Linked DNA regions of Saccharomyces cerevisiae S288C. Changing the gene in region 1 together with any one later gene gives a genetic interaction. Each region holds a gene or a part of one and is shown on either strand. Other genes may lie near its edges. The genes, in order: CTP1, GID8, YKR075C and XDJ1.

Region 1 (4,154 bases):
GACATATAGGAAAAATAGGAAGACATTTTAATATTCTTGATAGACTTTTTAAGAAACGTACACAACAGTCTTCGGATATACAACAAGGTGCCATGTTTGATGGTGTCTTTAGCAATTTAAGCGCAAAACCAGATACCACAGAGACTGAAGGTAATAACGAACAAGACATACCACCTACATACGACGAAGCTGCTGCTGATATGGCCCCCTCGTATTATGGAATGGATTTGAACAATTCAGATATCTACTACGACGAAATATGCATTGAGGGGCTTCCTGTAGGAAATATAGCAAATTTATTATGGAATATCATCGTAAGCACGAGTTTTCAGTTCATTGGATTTTTAATAACCTACATTTTACACACATCTCACGCAGCAAAGCAAGGTTCAAGGTTTGGATTAGGGTTAACGTTCATTGGATATGGTTATTCAATGATTCCCAATGATGTTACTTCAAAAGTCGGCAAAAATAAAAGCTTAAATAGAATGGAATTAGAGGATCCAAATGAATTCGATGATGTTCGTCTAAATTCACAATCAACGACACAAGATAAATTTGAATCACATTTGAATCACGGTCTGGATGAAGAAAAACAAAACATACCATGGTTGGCTGTTTTTGTGGCATTTCTTGGGCTATTTATCACCCTGAAGAGTATATACGACTACATTCAAGTCAAAAAATTGGAAAAGAAATACCTCAACCAAAGTCAAAATCAAGCATAAGCCATCTTCTTCATTATGATAAAAAGAGATATATAACTTTTTTAAGTGATCGGCTGGTAAATAGACTTATAACGAGTAGAAAACATTAGATGATATATTGTACACAATAATACATTTCAGGCTAGCATAACTAAGACCTTTTCATAGATAGTGAAAACAATACCACCACTCAAGACCAATCTCCCAAGTCTAGGCGTAGCACCTTTCCAAAACGTCTTTAACCCTTCTTCTTTGAAAATGGTTGCAAAACAATTCATTGTAGAGGAGTATTTGGTGGAATCCAAACTTTGCATTCTTGTTTTCACAGTATCAAGGGGCATGGTGGAATAGACCGTCACAATACCACTAAATGCACCCACTAAGAAGGTTAACCCGGATGATAAAGGTTTGTCTTTTGGCGAATCCGTATAATCTTGGATCAAGGTCTTAATCTTATTGTAACAACCCAATCTAACGGCTTGGTTTGCGGCCTGTCTCATGGAAACTGGCAAAACACCACGATAAAGACCAGAAAATCCTTTATCACGGACTAATGATGAATAGTTTCGTACTACACCGCGCCCATTATTATGGTATTTTGGTGTAGCAGATTGTTTATCATCGATCAAAGCAGTTTTGATTGCTTCAAAAGGAGTCACTGCGGCAACACTTTCTAATAGTCCCGCACCTAACCCAGCTATCACCCCTCTTGTACCACTTAGTTCTCCAGTTTCACTATCTCTTAGCATGTCTTTAATGGTATCAAAGCCAAGAAATCTAATACCCGCCTTAGCGGTGTTTCCAATAATAAATGCGGGACATCCGACATAAATGGAACCAATGCCCTGAGTTTTTGCAGTTTTATATATCAATACCAGAGGATTTCTTGATGCCTTGGAGGCCTTATCAATCAGCTGCAGCCTTGTTTTGGCAAACTCAAAAGGATATGTTATACATGCTTCAGCAGCACCGGCTAGGGACCCTGCCAGAAACGAGTGCAATGGATCTACGTCACTTTTGGTAGCTTTACTGGACATCGGTAAAATGCTAATTTATAATTCAAGCTCTACTTTGGAGTTCTTTCATTGTGACATCAAAATGTTTTTAATTTTACGTTGGCTTCGACATTTTACGTTTTATATATCACGCTAAAGTGAGACTAAATTTCATTGTTCTTCTTTTTTTTTTTTTTCACTTCTAATAATTGAAAATTCCGCAGGAATTCTTCCATATTCTTGACTCTTCAGTAAGACTAACTTAATGGAAATAGAGAAAATAGTACATATTTGAAAAAAAAAAAAGAGGTGTTGAAATGATTTGAGAATATTAAATAGCTTACAAGCGTTAGCCGAGTTCCCAGACAGCAGAGTTTCTACCCTGTGCTCTTTGTTGGCGGCTTTATTGATGAGGAATATAAAAATGTAATTAGGCAAACCTACGCGCGAAAATATAAGAAGCAAAGATATAAAGTGTAGTATATTTGAATATTTACATGAACGAAACGGCGACGTATAATGGTAATCGGCTGGGAACTTCATTAAAAAGTCAAGATGTAAGTTACCTCTTAGTAAGAAGAGTTATTGCAGCAAGCTTAGTATCAATAGGGAGACTCTGTCATGTAAAAAAATAAATGAACACAATCATAACCTCTTCGACTGGGCTATTCGTTGTATAGTATATGTGGTGGAGTGTAATGAATGAAGTTCTCAGAAGCTTGAAAGCATATCAAAATCACGTATTGACTATGACAGATTCTTGTTTCTTGCTCCATTACTCCATTCGAGTTTTTCACAACTTTTGTCGTTCGTCTATAACATCTCTTTTTTTTCCCACTCTTCTAAAATATTGGCATAGCTGACATGTTTGGAACCGAATAAGCAATTACAATACGACAGTAAAATAAAAGCATGTTATTGCTGCTTGTAGAGAATTCCTGCATATGTAACTTTCTCATTCCGACGGGATAAGTTCATAAACTAATCAGCGATGAGTTGCGGAAAATTCGTCAATAGAATATTTTCCAGTCAGTGGTGGTCCCAGTGGCCTGCAACCTAATGGCTATAGTTCTGGATAATAAATTGGGCAAAGGTCAGTATAAAGAATGAATGTATCAGGCCGTAATTGAAGCTTTCAAGTCCAGGTGAAAGGCCAAATCGACAATTAGCGAAAACAGGATTTTTTTACCAACTTGAAATAGTGACTGCTGTCTTTTTGCCTGATTAAGTGGTTATATATTTCAACTAATATCACAACAAAAGGCCTCTCAAAATTTGTGGCGAAGTGTACATCCTGGGTGCTCAGGTAAGCGTCGTCTTCGTATTTTTTTTTTTTCAACAGTAGTTTGGAAATAATGCTCTTCGAGGAATGCGAGCGGAAATGTTATCCACTGTATAAGTCGATATTTTAAGGGACGCTAAATATATCATCATAGCTCGTCTATTGGTGGCTTCTCCAATTGCACTTTCAATGCATTATGGTAAAGTGTGGTGATAAGGCATAGTGATGTTTACAGAGGTCTGTTGGTTTCTCTGGGCTCGCTCATCATCCGACCAGTAACCTTGTGGGGTTTCACATATTGTTCTATGCATTATTATCACGGATTTGTGCCTGCAAATGCTGTTTCTTTGGCTTTTCTTTCTAAAAAAATTATGATATATATATTGTTCCTCCTTGTTTAACAGGCTTTACGGTATTGTGGATCCTAGTAATAGGCGTACTTTTCTTCATTTACATATTTGAACAATATATGTCTCACAAGTAGTTGACCGAATAGCGTTACGTAAGGGTCAAAAACCTTTTCAGAATTGTATATATGACATTTTTAGAACATGATATAATAAACAGAATATAAAAGAAAATAGAGACGACGTACCATGGCATGAAGAATTGTACTGATATCACATTGTGTTGAGCACTGATAGATTAATACTATATTTCTGCTAGGTGCGGGGGGTAACATGTCCTAATGTGTGGCAACCACATTCTAAGGCTCGGTAAGTGATGCGATATATGTGCATGTGTGGCTTTCTTCCTAATTTGCTATTAGATGATTGTGTGCAAATCCACAGAAATATACAATTTCGAGAATATATATACTAGTTATCGTTATAAGAACACACAGTATTGGCCAATTCTTGCCTCTGAATGGTACAAAATGCTTTAAAATGTAGTAAATGAAACATTAATTCCAAATCAGATTTTTTTTCGCAATGCTTAAATCTAGTAAACACAAAGTACTACCGAAAAGCAAGGATGGAAACTATGGCAGTATTGAAGAGACTGAAATTCCTTCTGTCGACTACAGTGAAGACTTAGATGAGGACTTGGACAAAGGCGAAGATATAGCGCTTTCAAGAATCCCAAATTGATGGATTATTGAAGCTACTCTTTTTTCTAATGTCTTTTTGTCCGGTTTTGACGGAACCGTTACAGCTTCGACGTACCAAA
Region 2 (4,431 bases), on another chromosome or scaffold:
AAATTAATAAATAAACTACAGGAGTTGCCATATGTTCATCAATTTATCCATGATCGAATAAGTGGTAGGATAACTCTCTTTTTGATAGTGGTTGGTACGCTTGCATTTTTTAACGAACTGTATATAACGATCGAAATGAGTCTTCTACAAAAGAACACATCAGAAGAACTAGAGCGTGGAAGAATCGATGAAAGTCTGAAGCTTCATCGGATGTTGGTGAGTGATGAATATCACGGTAAAGAATACAAAGACGAGAAAAGCGGTATTGTTATTGAAGAGTTCGAAGATCGCGATAAGTTTTTTGCAAAACCTGTGTTTGTATCAGAATTGGATGTCGAATGTAATGTTATTGTAGATGGGAAAGAACTTCTGTCCACCCCATTAAAATTTCATGTTGAATTTTCTCCAGAGGATTATGAAAATGAAAAAAGACCTGAGTTTGGTACTACCTTGCGTGTATTGAGGCTGAGACTTTACCACTACTTTAAAGATTGCGAAATATATCGCGATATAATTAAGAATGAGGGCGGTGAAGGGGCAAGAAAGTTTACGATTTCCAACGGTGTCAAAATTTACAATCATAAAGATGAACTACTGCCATTGAATATCGATGATGTTCAATTATGTTTCCTGAAGATTGATACGGGAAACACGATAAAATGCGAATTCATACTATGAAAGCTTCCAAAAAAAAAAAAGAAAAATCAATTGCTAAATGCATACATGCAGGTAGGCACACACACACACACACACACACACTCACTCACACATGCACACGCACACACACATATATAAATATATACGTACTATGTATGTCAGTTTTCGACCCTAGGAACCCCTATTTGGTTGTGATGAAGCTGATTTTCGCACCAACACCACAGTTTCATTATCTGCGTCAATCTTGGTTCATAGGGAAATTCGGAAGAGTAGTAATTATTGAATTCTAAACCTTTTTCCTTTCCATTTGAAGAGGAAAGCAATTCAGAAGTTTGATTCCAGTAATTTTTATTTTCTAAGTTATGAAAAGTTGTCGCCGCTGAACCTGTGCCAACATTTCCATCCCTTTGATTTAGCCAAACTGAATTAGCAGCAGCCGTGACCTCGTTGCTTGACATCTTTTCGTTGATAGGTTGGTCAGACGAAATGTGAGTTATTTTTGTACCATTTGAACCATTGACGAGATTGTTGTTATACACCGTGAAGTTCTGCGTAATTATTTTCTTGTCGGAATTTAACAAATCTGGAAATTTGGAATTATTATTGCTGATCTCAAATTGAATCCTTGGATGAATAAACTTCAGCAGCTTCTCATTAACCAGATCTGCTATCTTAGATCTTAGAGATATCGAGTACAGATTTTGTAACGATTTGGGCAGCTTAATGCTGCCGCTGTCCGCCGAATCTGACAAGGGGAAAAGCAGCAGAGTCATTGCTAATTCTAACTCTTGCATCTTTTTGACACTTGACGAAGCCTTTATTGCAAGTTTATTTTGAGAATACTGAATTAGATTGAGTATAAAGTCGTTGGAATCCTTGGTGATGTTCTCCTGTTGATGGTGACTTCTTATCATCTCGATCAAATTCAGTAACAGCAGTTTGAAGTGTAAATCTCCATCTATGTCAAACTGCTGCTGCTGCTGCTGCTGCTGCCTGTCAGTTCTACCCGTATAACTTCCCGTAGCATTGAAAGTCTCTTCCAGCACCTCCAGCCCGAAGATAGAGTTTATCTCCTCCATCGCCTCATTGATACGCCCCAGCTTAATAAGATGTTTGATATGGAAACGCTCCTTGATCTTGTACAAATCATTGAAAACCGCAATGTCTTTGTTGTTCCGTATAAATCCCAGCTCCTTGGCCATCCTAATGCTCGAGTCTTCATATGCCATAGAAACAAAGTAGTTCAACAGAAGCCGTGGCAGTGTGGGCTCTATGGGTGTGGTCTGTATGGTAGCAAATCCCTCGTCCTGCGAGCCGCCACTGCTGTTGGGCTGAATTTTCAGCGGATAATGTATTGTCTTATTTGCATATAGCTCGCCCATGGCAGAATACTTGGCCACCTGCTCCTTCCATTCTTCCTTCGTGAAGCACTTCTTTCCATACGTAAAGTCTTTCCCACCATTCTTGCCTTGGCCGCTGCAAGATCCGCTCTTCGTGGTCTCGTTACTAAGAGTAGATATAGTCATTTCTATTTGTTACCACACACAAATATATCTTCATCCGGCTGATATTTGTCTCTACTGCCCCTTTGCTTGCAATTTAATGACCAAATTACACATGTTAGCTTCAAGAAAAATGATGTACCATCAAAATGTCTCCTGCAACGAACCGGGGCACCGCGCCGGCAGAGTCAGGAAAGCGAGATCGACACTGATAGTGATAAACAGCAACACAATGGAGCGATTACCATTCACTCGGAACGGATCCGGACAACAGTCAAATAAACTCCGGGATCCCAAAAAGGGCCGTACACACAAACCCAAGCCGAGCGAAAAACACAAAAAAAATAAAACAGGGAAAAAAGGAGCGCAAGAGAAAACGCACAGGAGTAGGAGCAGCAGAAAGGGGAACTAATATGGTTTTTCCGTTTGCTTATTTTTATTTTTTTGTTGAGTCATGGGCACGTCACCGCACAACAGCCGCCGCAGGCCTGTACCGCTACGCGTCTATCACTGCGAAACATCGCTACTTCTGTCGCCGCGTCGACGCTGGTCCAGACCACAAAAGGATGCACGATCAGAAGCACTGTACCCTGCAGAGTTGGAGATAGTGTAACCGTGACTTCATTTTTCAAGCGTGGTTTCACATTCTTTTTGCACCGCCCTTATCTCAGATATAGTTTCGTTCGGTTGCTTTGCTTTCCCCAACTGAAGGTGCTGGATGGCGGTTTTTCCGGCTGCTGCGATTTTCCCTGCGCGGGGCCCGGCGCGGAATTGTGCAAAAGCTAAAACTCAACGGTTATTTTGAAATATAAGGTTATAAGCAAATTTCCTAAATTTGCTTAATTGTTAATGCAGTTGTTATTGCATTAAGACATTCGGCTATCGTTTCCTTTCTTCGTGTCGGCAATCTTGTATAAAAGTTATTTTTTGAGTTTCAGTTTCTTGTATATCTTGGTATATATTGAAGGAGGATTTTTTCTTTCCTGGTCCTTTTACTTCCTTGCGTCCCCTCATATTTCTTCTATTTCCGTTCACGGCGTTTTTTTATTTTCTCCATCTACTTTTAGTGATTTCCTTTGCTCTAATATTGTTTTCGTTCATAGTGAATTGTTTGTTTTCACTTTAATAAAGGGCTTTTACGACTTGTCTCAAAAAATTTCATCGAGATGCAAGCCCCCAATATCTACCCCTTCTCTCAAACACAGCCACAAGCACTGCCCGGGTTCACATACGGTCCTCCACAACTTGTTTTTGACCATTCTGCTCCGAGAGTAGATCCTTTGCATTCTACTGTAACTATAAATTCTCCATTACCCTTGCAGCATTATAATGGACCGAATGCCCATATAAACAGCGCAAACAACAACTACGCATACTACTATCATCATCCCAACAATAATGATAACAACAACCATAGTAACAACACTATAAAAAATAACAACATTAATTCTGTTCTTCCCGCCGTTAATATTCAAATATCCAACAACTCACATTATAGAAATACACACCAAATTCCTTCTGCTCCTCAGCGGCTGGTCAGCATCATACCGGATCCCCACATGCCGCCCAATATTTCTCACTTTCAGCTAAATAATATTCACCCTCAAATGCATGCTCCTGTTGCTACTGATATTCATTTCCAACAAGTACCAGTTTACAATAAAACCAATAATGGCATTGGTACTGATAACATTAATAACGATAAACCCGTAAACTCGAATCAGAATGAAGTGCTGGACAATATTGATGAACGTTCCTGTCATGAAATTAACAGGGTAGTTTCATTTTCTAAACATTTTGAAAACAACGAACTTACCACTACAGCAAATGATCTAAACATTCAATCTACTATGGATGAATTAGCTAAACTGAAATCTTTATCAAATTCTACCCATTTCAGGCAGAGTATTGCTACTCAGAATTTCCATTCTTTACAAAATCATATCACAACCATCGAAAACCGTCTGGCTTCTTTACTTACTGACAGACAACAAGAGCAGCAACAGTTGAAGCAGCAAGAGTCTGAAAAGGAGAGCTCTTCACCGTTTTCCAATAAGATAAAGTTACCTTCCTTACAGGAATTAACTGACTCCATCTCCACCCAACATCTTCCAACATTCTATGACAATAAAAGGCATGCTTCGGATACCGATTTAAAGAGTAGCACCTTACATGGTCCATTATATCACCGTCACGCTTTTCTTTCAACCTCTTCTTCCTCACCCTCCCCCACGGCCGGTTCCGCGCCTCTTCAAAAGTTACAGGTTCCAAG
Region 3 (4,051 bases), on another chromosome or scaffold:
CTACGTTACGAGGATTTATCATAGAACCCAAATCAGCAGTAATAAATTTCCACGGTCAAATTAAACTCTTGTCGTTGATATGGGTGTAGTGTGATGGTGGTGACCACTATTTCGCCTTTATTAGTTATTTATATGAGTTAGCCCTCCGAAGAACTCATCCTTGTTAGCTCAGTTGGTAGAGCGTTCGGCTTTTAAGCGCATTTGCTTAAGCAAGGATACCGAAATGTCAGGGGTTCGAGCCCCCTATGAGGAGTTCTTTACTTTTTTAGATTCGGCGTTCAATGCTAAAGAAAAAAAATGAAAATAAGTTTCAATTAATAGTGAAAGAAAAGGAAGGAAGTTAGAACTGAAATGCGTAGACTACCTCCCCCAAATTTTTTCTTGTTTGGTTGCATTATTTCATGAATTCAACTAAAAGGCTGAAAATGTCAACAACCTTTCATGATTATGACTTGGAAGAGCCATTAACCTCAAATGCCAGACCACTAAAGAACTCCGTTATTACAATCCGAGTAATAAAATCTTTCCCATATAGAAACGTCAAGAACATAGTGCTGCACGATTACGATCTTGCTGATAAAACTGCAAAGGACCTGTTCAATGACGTTTTGAACAAAATTCAAAATGAAGGTTCATTCAGACCATTCCGTAATGTTAAGTTTGATACTTTAAAGATATACACGCACGCACATGGTTCCAAGACGGTTAATCTCGTGATCAATTTTGACCACGATGACGACTGGACTTTAGACATAGAGAATGACAAAAAAAAGCTGTTCGAGTATGGCATTGAGAATGAAACCGAAATTTCGCTTTTCAACAAAGAGGATTACCTAAGGTTTAAAGAAAACCCTGAAGAAAAATGGTGAGATGTTGTTTGGCTTATGGCCTTCATTAATAAGTAAGTGCTATGAATATATTACATATATATATATATATATGTTGTGTACGAGAGTATACTCGTATGTAAATTAACATCAAATGTGTATGTGGAAATGCAGAAGAGAGCAAACTCTCCTTTAAAAAACAACCTGGTTCCTATAAAAAATGTCTTCTTCCATAGTGCCAAATGTATAGTTGCTGAACTCATAATGAGCTTCTTTTATTGTTTCATCAGAATGAGAACTATTTTGATGGTGATGGTGATGATGGCGACGATGGTGACGGCGATGGTGGCGGGAATGTTGGATATCGTTTATGTTGATGAGGGATTCGCGGATAGTCCCCTTTGAGTCGATCTCCCTCTTCATCACGGCTTGGTTAAACTTCAACTTCCTGGGGAATTGTTCCTTCTTTTCGTTCATAAGGTCTTCAGAATCTTCATCTATGGAGGAAATTTTAGTGCATGTAGAATGCTGGTCGAAAATGGAAGACGTGTGAGAATCAACAGACGATGGGCATGAAATGTCTTCTAATTTCACCAAAGCGTTGTCATTGCTCTCTATAGAAGCGTTAATCTCATCCACCTCCTCGGTTACCCAGCATTCCGTATTTTTCTTTAAAGCAGATTTTAGATTTTTTGTTTGTTTCTGGTCAATTTGGTTCTGGACCGGCGATATTTCGTTTTCATTACTATCTATGTTAGTCAAATCTGGACCGTACAACACCGTTACATCGGTTTCTTTGTTCCAGTTGATGGACAGTGGATTGGATTTGGAGTTCTGTAAACCATAGTGATTTATGGACCAACGCCTCCAGAGGCAATGATGTAGCCTAACGAGGTACATGTTGTAATCTAGCACGTCCTCTGAAGAGCAACTTGGTAATCGAAGTAGTTTATGTTTGCGCATCTTCAATAGTAGTGTCCATGAAGCCGATATTTCCAAGCTTGCATCATTAAATTCATGATGGAAATAGTCAATCGCAGGCTTGTTGTAGTTGGTCATGTTATCCAGTAACATTATATTCTGGTACGAAATTATTGTATCGTCCAAACTAGTCATTTTCTGTATATGTATCTATTTGTGTGTGTATGAACACTTGTGTGTAGTATCTGAATGCGATAAGAGAAAGGGCCAAAGTTGAACTGAATGCAAAAAGTAAAACCTATAAAACCGTGTTGACCATACGCTTTCATATATATATATATATATGTTTGTTTTTGCTAAGACCCGGTAACTGTACTTTTTCTGCAGTCATCCAAGGGAAGACAAAAGAAGAAAGAAAAAACAAGATTAATGTCCCCAGGTTTTTTCTTTTCCTGGCGGAAAAAGCTCAAATCTAACATTTCCCCGCGGGGGTTTCTTTGTAAAGAGTATCGAGTCGGAAACGAAAAAAAAAAAAAGATGAGAAAATGAATTTTTCCGGTCGCCTAAAGATAGAGGTACCAGCGGAAAAAATGCAGCAAAAGCAAAATACCCCATTCAAGTTCCCCCTGTCTCGCCCCTCTCACGCTTCACTGTCCCCCGCTTTCGGTTTTTCCGGCTACGGCATTTCTGTTGAAAGTTGCCGGAAAAACCCCAAAAAGCATAAAAAAAAAGAGCGGGGGGAAGAAAAAAAGATTCCTTTCTATCTTTTCCTTCCCCGGCCTATTCGGGTACTCGCTTCCGGGTCCGCTGTCGTTTATAATGATTAGTGCAGAGAGCTTTCTTCTCTTAGTTTTTCATGTGGTAAAGGCAATGCCATTTAGAAGGATACTACGTGGGGTTCAAAACCGTGAATACGTTGTCTATCGTGTTATGTATGTTCTGAGTTTCTTTTTGTCATTCTACTAGTTTATGGACTGGGACTATGTATCTTGCAGTATGATTTCGTCAGGAAGCTTGTCATAGCAAGGCCTGAACAAATCGTACGTTAAAATAAAAATGAGCACCAATTCGAGTCACTGATGCCTACTGCTCAATCCAACCATCTAGTTCTGCAAAGATACTTACTCCGCATAATTAAAAAAATAAGGTATTTTAAAGTTGTGTAGTGACGAATGTAGTGACGCGGAAACGTTTTACTCGTCAATGGACATTTGCGAATGTGTCCGATAAATAGTTGAGGCTTTTCCTGCATTCTGTCAAGAAGGGTATGTGTATGAACATGCAAATGACACTGTAAAATGATTCATTACCCTGATTATGGAGTGATTTTCTTTCCTTTTTTTTTTTACATTTAGTTTCATTATTATGCAAATTAGAGGGTATACAGTTGAGATTTTAACACTTTGAATTAAAAAGTGTTACAGAGGAAACCGACGCAAAAGGCTTGGTGACGCAAACTTTTCCATCTTTATTTCACCTCTTCAGACGGTCCTAAGACCTTTTGAACGTATCAATATAGTTTTATCATCTGTTCTCTGTTGTTCTCCGTTACTAAGATATTAGTCAGCTCTTGAAATTTCACACCCCTATTTATTTGTCTTAGCGTCCAACCCCTCTCAACCCTTTTCCATTTCTTGTATAAAGGTAGTTAATTAGGTAACGCTGCTCTTACCATCACTACAGTGCTTACGAGAATTTACCCAAACCCTGCGCAAGATAAATAAGAAATGTCGAAACAGTGGGCGAGTGGTACAAACGGAGCTTTCAAAAGACAGGTTTCGTCCTTCAGAGAAACAATCTCTAAGCAACACCCAATTTATAAGCCAGCAAAGGGAAGATATTGGTTGTATGTTTCACTTGCATGCCCATGGGCCCATAGAACACTAATTACGAGGGCTTTGAAGGGATTAACCTCTGTTATAGGATGTAGCGTAGTCCATTGGCACCTTGACGAGAAAGGATGGAGATTTTTGGACATGGAAAAGCAATTGGAGGACAGTGAAGATTTTTTGGAACATTGGCACGATGTTGCAGGTGGTATTAGAACTGCTAAAGAGGATTCCAGCAAGAGCTTCGCCGAGATCAAGAATGACAGTCAAAGATTCATGGTTGATGCTACCAATGAGCCTCACTATGGATACAAGAGAATCAGTGACTTATATTACAAGAGCGATCCTCAATACTCGGCAAGGTTCACCGTCCCAGTCCTGTGGGACTTAGAAACCCAAACAATTGTTAACAACGAAAGTAGCGAAATTATAAGGATTTTGAACTCTAGTGCGTTCGATGAATTTGTCGACGAC
Region 4 (4,523 bases), on another chromosome or scaffold:
TCTCTCTTCACGTGACCTGACACGGCCACAGTGGCACGTGACATTTACTCCAGTATAACAGCCAACAACAACTAATCAACTTCCCACCGGGTGCAATGAAACATCAAAGGCTCCGTGGTGGAGTCGGCATTAGTAGTCGTATATGCCCTTGCACAAGCTCGCATATAGAGCCTTCTAAGGCGTCGCTCTACAGTCTCGTCATAGAAGACGGCAGTCAATGCCAGCTCGTTCTCAGGAGAGAGCGGGGGGTTTTCTATGAAGAGGCTCTTGTAAATATGAGACAGCTGTCTTGCGAAAAGTTGGGCAATTTGTTTGGCCGGAGAAACTTCGCCAAGAGCGTTCCTGACAGGAATTTGCACGCCAGGGGAGGGGTATTTTTTGTGATTGTAGCTTAGATGACTGTTCGCTATTAAAAATTTGTAGTGGTTTCCAAGAGAATTTATCAGGAATATCCTCTCTGGTGTGAAGGTATCAAGATCTGTCCCACTCAGACGCATTAACGATGGCGGCGTTTGGACCCAAGGGTTTTTAACGTTAAACAGTGTTATCCAATCCGCCTTCAGCCAGACGCTCCTTGAAGACGTTGAATTTAGTTTCCCATTGTTTACAGCGATGGAATCTACCAAGTCTCTGTGGTTCTCAAATGGCCAGTGAGTCAGTAGAAAGTGGTAGTGTTTTTGGAAGAGATGCGCATGTCGTGGGAGCGGGTTATTCCATTGGAAGTGCGTTTGGTAAATGATACTCTCCAGTGCTTTTAAGCTTGCCCTTAAATCTTGTCTTCTTTGCGCCTTCTCGTACAGTTGTAGTGATTTTGTTAACGGCACGGCTATTTCTTTGAACTTGTAATCGCTTTGTTTACTTGTGAGTGTGGTCGTCAATGCTACCTTGGTTATTTGATGAAGCGGCGTAGACTCTATGACCGGCAGTAATAAGGCGTTAACCTGGGACGCCATTGTTGCTCCAAGTTCGCAATCGCTGTTCTGATAGAAGGCCTTTGTATGCTTGCTTTATGTCCGCCGCGATGGGGATTCTTCCTATTTTTCTACTGAAGGTGCGAAAGACTTCATTCTTCACCGCATTCAGTAAATGAATTTCATATATATACATATATACAGGTAGGATAACTTATGAAAAAAAAAAAAAAATAGAATAAAAAGTTATTGATGCCATCATTGGATACAGCAGTACGAACTTCTTGCTTTCTGATGCGCTGAATCCTGTGCTTCTGGCTTGAACGGCCTTATCCCTTCTGGAAGATCGTCCGTGTGAATGATCCGGAAATTTGATATAGTTTCGTTGTTAGTCAGGTTGCTGTCATCTTCAGTATTTACAGTCGCATGTGAGGCACAAGATGAAGATGACGGCAGATTCGTTTTTATTGCTAGTAGTTCTGATTTTTCATTGAACCAGTTATCTGGTGGAAATTCAATATGAACGAAAACATACAGATCGCCGCACCGGCCATGAGGGTTATCTAAAATGGGCCAACCTTCATTGGCGATTTTGATGGTGTCACCAGGTCTTACTACTCTGCCAGGTTTAACGCTCAATGTTAGTAACCTGTCGTCGAAGGTTTTTGTCAAAAATTTCTCAAATCCCGTCAAGGCCTCGCTTAACGATATGGTAATGCTTGTATACAAATCTTCCCCGGCGCCGTCGTCAAAGTTCTTCAAAAAGATTTGCTTCTGCTCCAAGTTTTCTTGTTTTTCAGTGAGATGGAACTTTAAATCACCACATGTGGTCTTATCGATTTCCTCGTCCGCCATCCCCTTGACTGTAATTACGTCGTTAAAGTGGTGTCCCGGAGCCACGTTCACTGTGATGATTTCCTTCTTTGACAGGAGCCCCAAGCCTGCGCAATCGGGGCAAAAGTTCTTTGGATTCTTGGGTCTTTTAGTGTACTTCCCCTTACCATTACATTTCTCACAGACCACCCATTGCGAAGCTACCAAACCGGGACCAAACCTCTTCAGACGTTCCTTTGAACCCTTTCCAGCGCATGATTCACATTCCACATCGTGTGTAACGTGAATTTTCCTCTTTGGTTTCCAGCCAGAACCGTGGCACTTTATACAGATGACCTGTCTCTTTAAATCAAACTTCAGCTTCTTGCCCATGTACAAATCCTTCAAAGTAAGAGATATATCGATATCGATATCCTTAGAGCTTGTAGAGTTGCCCTCTTCGTACGCATCATACTCGCCAGGGAAATTATTTCCATCGTGACTTCCATTATTGAAGAAATTGTTAAAGAAGTTCATAAAATCTTCATCTCCAAAGCCATTAGCGCCACCGCTGCTAGCGGCACCATTATCATCACCATACAAGTCGTAATGTGATTTCTTCTCCGGATCGCTCAAGATCTCGTAAGCGGCAGTGATCTCTTTGAATTTGATTTCATTTACCTCCTTTGAGTCTTGATCCACATACTTGTCCGGATGATGTTTCAGGGCAAGCTTTCTGTAAGCAGTTTTAATCTCTTGCACGGTCGCATCTCTCGTCACCCCCAACACATCGTATAACCGGTCTCCTCTATCACTGCCACTCATTCAAAACTACACCTGCGTACTTACTTTTCCCTTTCTTTTGGGTCCAAGCGGCATATCTCTTAAGATAAGATAAGCCTGACTCTTTCTTTGCCTCTCTGCCTTTCTTTCTTCTTCCCTTCTGCAGAGGATGGCTCGTCGCTACTCAAATCCCGACCCAAGAAACAAAGAAACAAGGATTGCACAGCAGAGCGCTGCCCCACACACATATATGCATATGTTTATTTACCGCATATTCGTGGCTATATAATCCATATATAATACACAGCACATTCATGATATAATCTTACATAGTAGCACTTCCCATTAGACGTTTTCTGCTTTTACAGTACTGGTTTTTTTTTCACTCTTGCGTCTTTTTTTTTTTTCATTCTGAAGGGGTCCAAGCCTAACGATTTTCGACCTTTCGTTGAGACAACTTCACGTACTCTTCTGACCTGCTGTGGTTGACGTATTTAGAGTTTGCTGCGCCCTTTGTAAACGATCGTGACCCGCGGACCATACTAGGAAAAGCTCTTCCGTTACTACTACTGCTTTCTCGCTATTTTACTCTAGTTGTTCATACTAGTCACACGTTGCTCGAGAACAGGACCAGCTTCTTTGTTTCTCCCCCGCATTTAATTGTTTCTGCTTCTCAATTGAACGCATATAAATATATTTCCCCAGTCTTTATTTTGCTCTCTCCACGATGTTATCACTGTCTGCCAAAAATCACTTCACAGTGAGTAATTCTATAACTCACGTTATTAAGTCATATCATATAAGGACTCTCACTTCAAGCGCAGAAAAAATGCCACATATCACTACTCCTTTTTCTACCTCAGCCAGTAGTACAAAGTTAAAAGCTTTCAGGAAAGTTAGACCCGTCCTACAGAGACATAGCTCTTCCTGGATTGTTGCTCAAAATCATAGACGTTCATTATCTGGTCAATCTTCGCTAAACGACCTGCGTCATTTGAATCGCTTTCCACACCACACGTTGAAAACTTCGAATAACGAGTTTTATCCCGCCGAACAATTGACTTTGGAAGACGTAAATGAAAATGTCTTGAAGGCTAAGTACGCCGTTAGAGGTGCCATCCCAATGAGAGCTGAAGAATTGAAAGCTCAACTGGAGAAGGATCCTCAATCTCTGCCATTTGACAGGATTATCAACGCCAATATTGGTAATCCTCAGCAACTACAACAGAAACCTCTGACTTACTACAGACAGGTCTTGTCTCTCTTACAATACCCAGAACTATTAAACCAAAACGAACAGCAGCTAGTTGATTCGAAATTGTTTAAACTAGATGCCATTAAACGTGCAAAGAGTTTAATGGAAGATATCGGTGGTTCTGTTGGTGCTTACTCTTCTTCTCAAGGTGTAGAAGGTATAAGGAAAAGTGTCGCTGAATTTATAACGAAGAGGGACGAAGGCGAGATATCATACCCAGAGGATATTTTCCTAACTGCTGGTGCATCCGCAGCTGTCAATTACTTGTTATCAATTTTCTGTAGAGGGCCAGAAACGGGTGTCTTGATTCCAATTCCTCAATATCCATTATATACCGCTACTCTAGCTTTGAACAATTCTCAAGCTTTACCATACTATTTAGATGAGAATTCAGGTTGGTCAACTAATCCAGAAGAAATTGAAACTGTCGTCAAAGAGGCTATACAGAACGAAATCAAACCTACAGTTCTAGTGGTTATCAATCCAGGTAATCCTACAGGAGCTGTCCTATCACCTGAGTCTATAGCTCAGATTTTTGAAGTCGCAGCCAAGTACGGTACAGTAGTGATAGCTGACGAAGTTTATCAAGAAAATATCTTCCCGGGCACCAAGTTCCATTCTATGAAGAAAATTTTGAGACATTTACAGAGGGAACATCCAGGTAAATTCGATAATGTTCAGCTAGCTTCTTTGCATTCGACTTCTAAGGGTGTTTCTGGTGAATGTGGTCAAAGGGGTGGCTACATGGAACTCACTGGATT

Evidence for each region.
Region 2: mutations in CTP1 (region 1) and GID8 together harm fitness more than expected from each alone (negative genetic interaction), as found in Saccharomyces cerevisiae (2 studies listed by BioGRID).
Region 3: mutations in CTP1 (region 1) and YKR075C together harm fitness more than expected from each alone (negative genetic interaction), as found in Saccharomyces cerevisiae (2 studies listed by BioGRID).
Region 4: mutations in CTP1 (region 1) and XDJ1 together harm fitness more than expected from each alone (negative genetic interaction), as found in Saccharomyces cerevisiae (2 studies listed by BioGRID).

Annotation. Positions count from the first base shown.
Region 1 is NC_001134.8:782,829-786,982, forward strand, and holds CTP1 (Ctp1p), read right to left. Parts: upstream 1,745-4,154; coding exon 845-1,744; downstream 1-844. Other genes in the region: BSD2 (Bsd2p), read left to right, coding at 1-728; YBR292C (uncharacterized protein), read right to left, coding at 1,874-2,245. UniProt on the Saccharomyces cerevisiae protein: Transport of citrate across inner mitochondrial membrane.
Region 2 is NC_001145.3:537,874-542,304, forward strand, and holds GID8 (glucose-induced degradation complex subunit GID8), read right to left. Parts: upstream 2,184-4,431; coding exon 816-2,183; downstream 1-815. Other genes in the region: ERG29 (Erg29p), read left to right, coding at 1-678; GAT2 (Gat2p), read left to right, coding at 3,326-4,431. UniProt on the Saccharomyces cerevisiae protein: Component of the GID E3 ligase complex recruiting N termini and catalyzing ubiquitination of proteins targeted for degradation.
Region 3 is NC_001143.9:578,808-582,858, forward strand, and holds YKR075C (uncharacterized protein), read right to left. Parts: upstream 1,944-4,051; coding exon 1,020-1,943; downstream 1-1,019. Other genes in the region: AIM29 (Aim29p), read left to right, coding at 402-869; ECM4 (S-glutathionyl-(chloro)hydroquinone reductase), read left to right, coding at 3,476-4,051.
Region 4 is NC_001144.5:318,727-323,249, reverse strand, and holds XDJ1 (Xdj1p), read right to left. Parts: upstream 2,550-4,523; coding exon 1,170-2,549; downstream 1-1,169. Other genes in the region: GEP5 (Gep5p), read right to left, coding at 72-953; alanine transaminase ALT1, read left to right, coding at 3,235-4,523.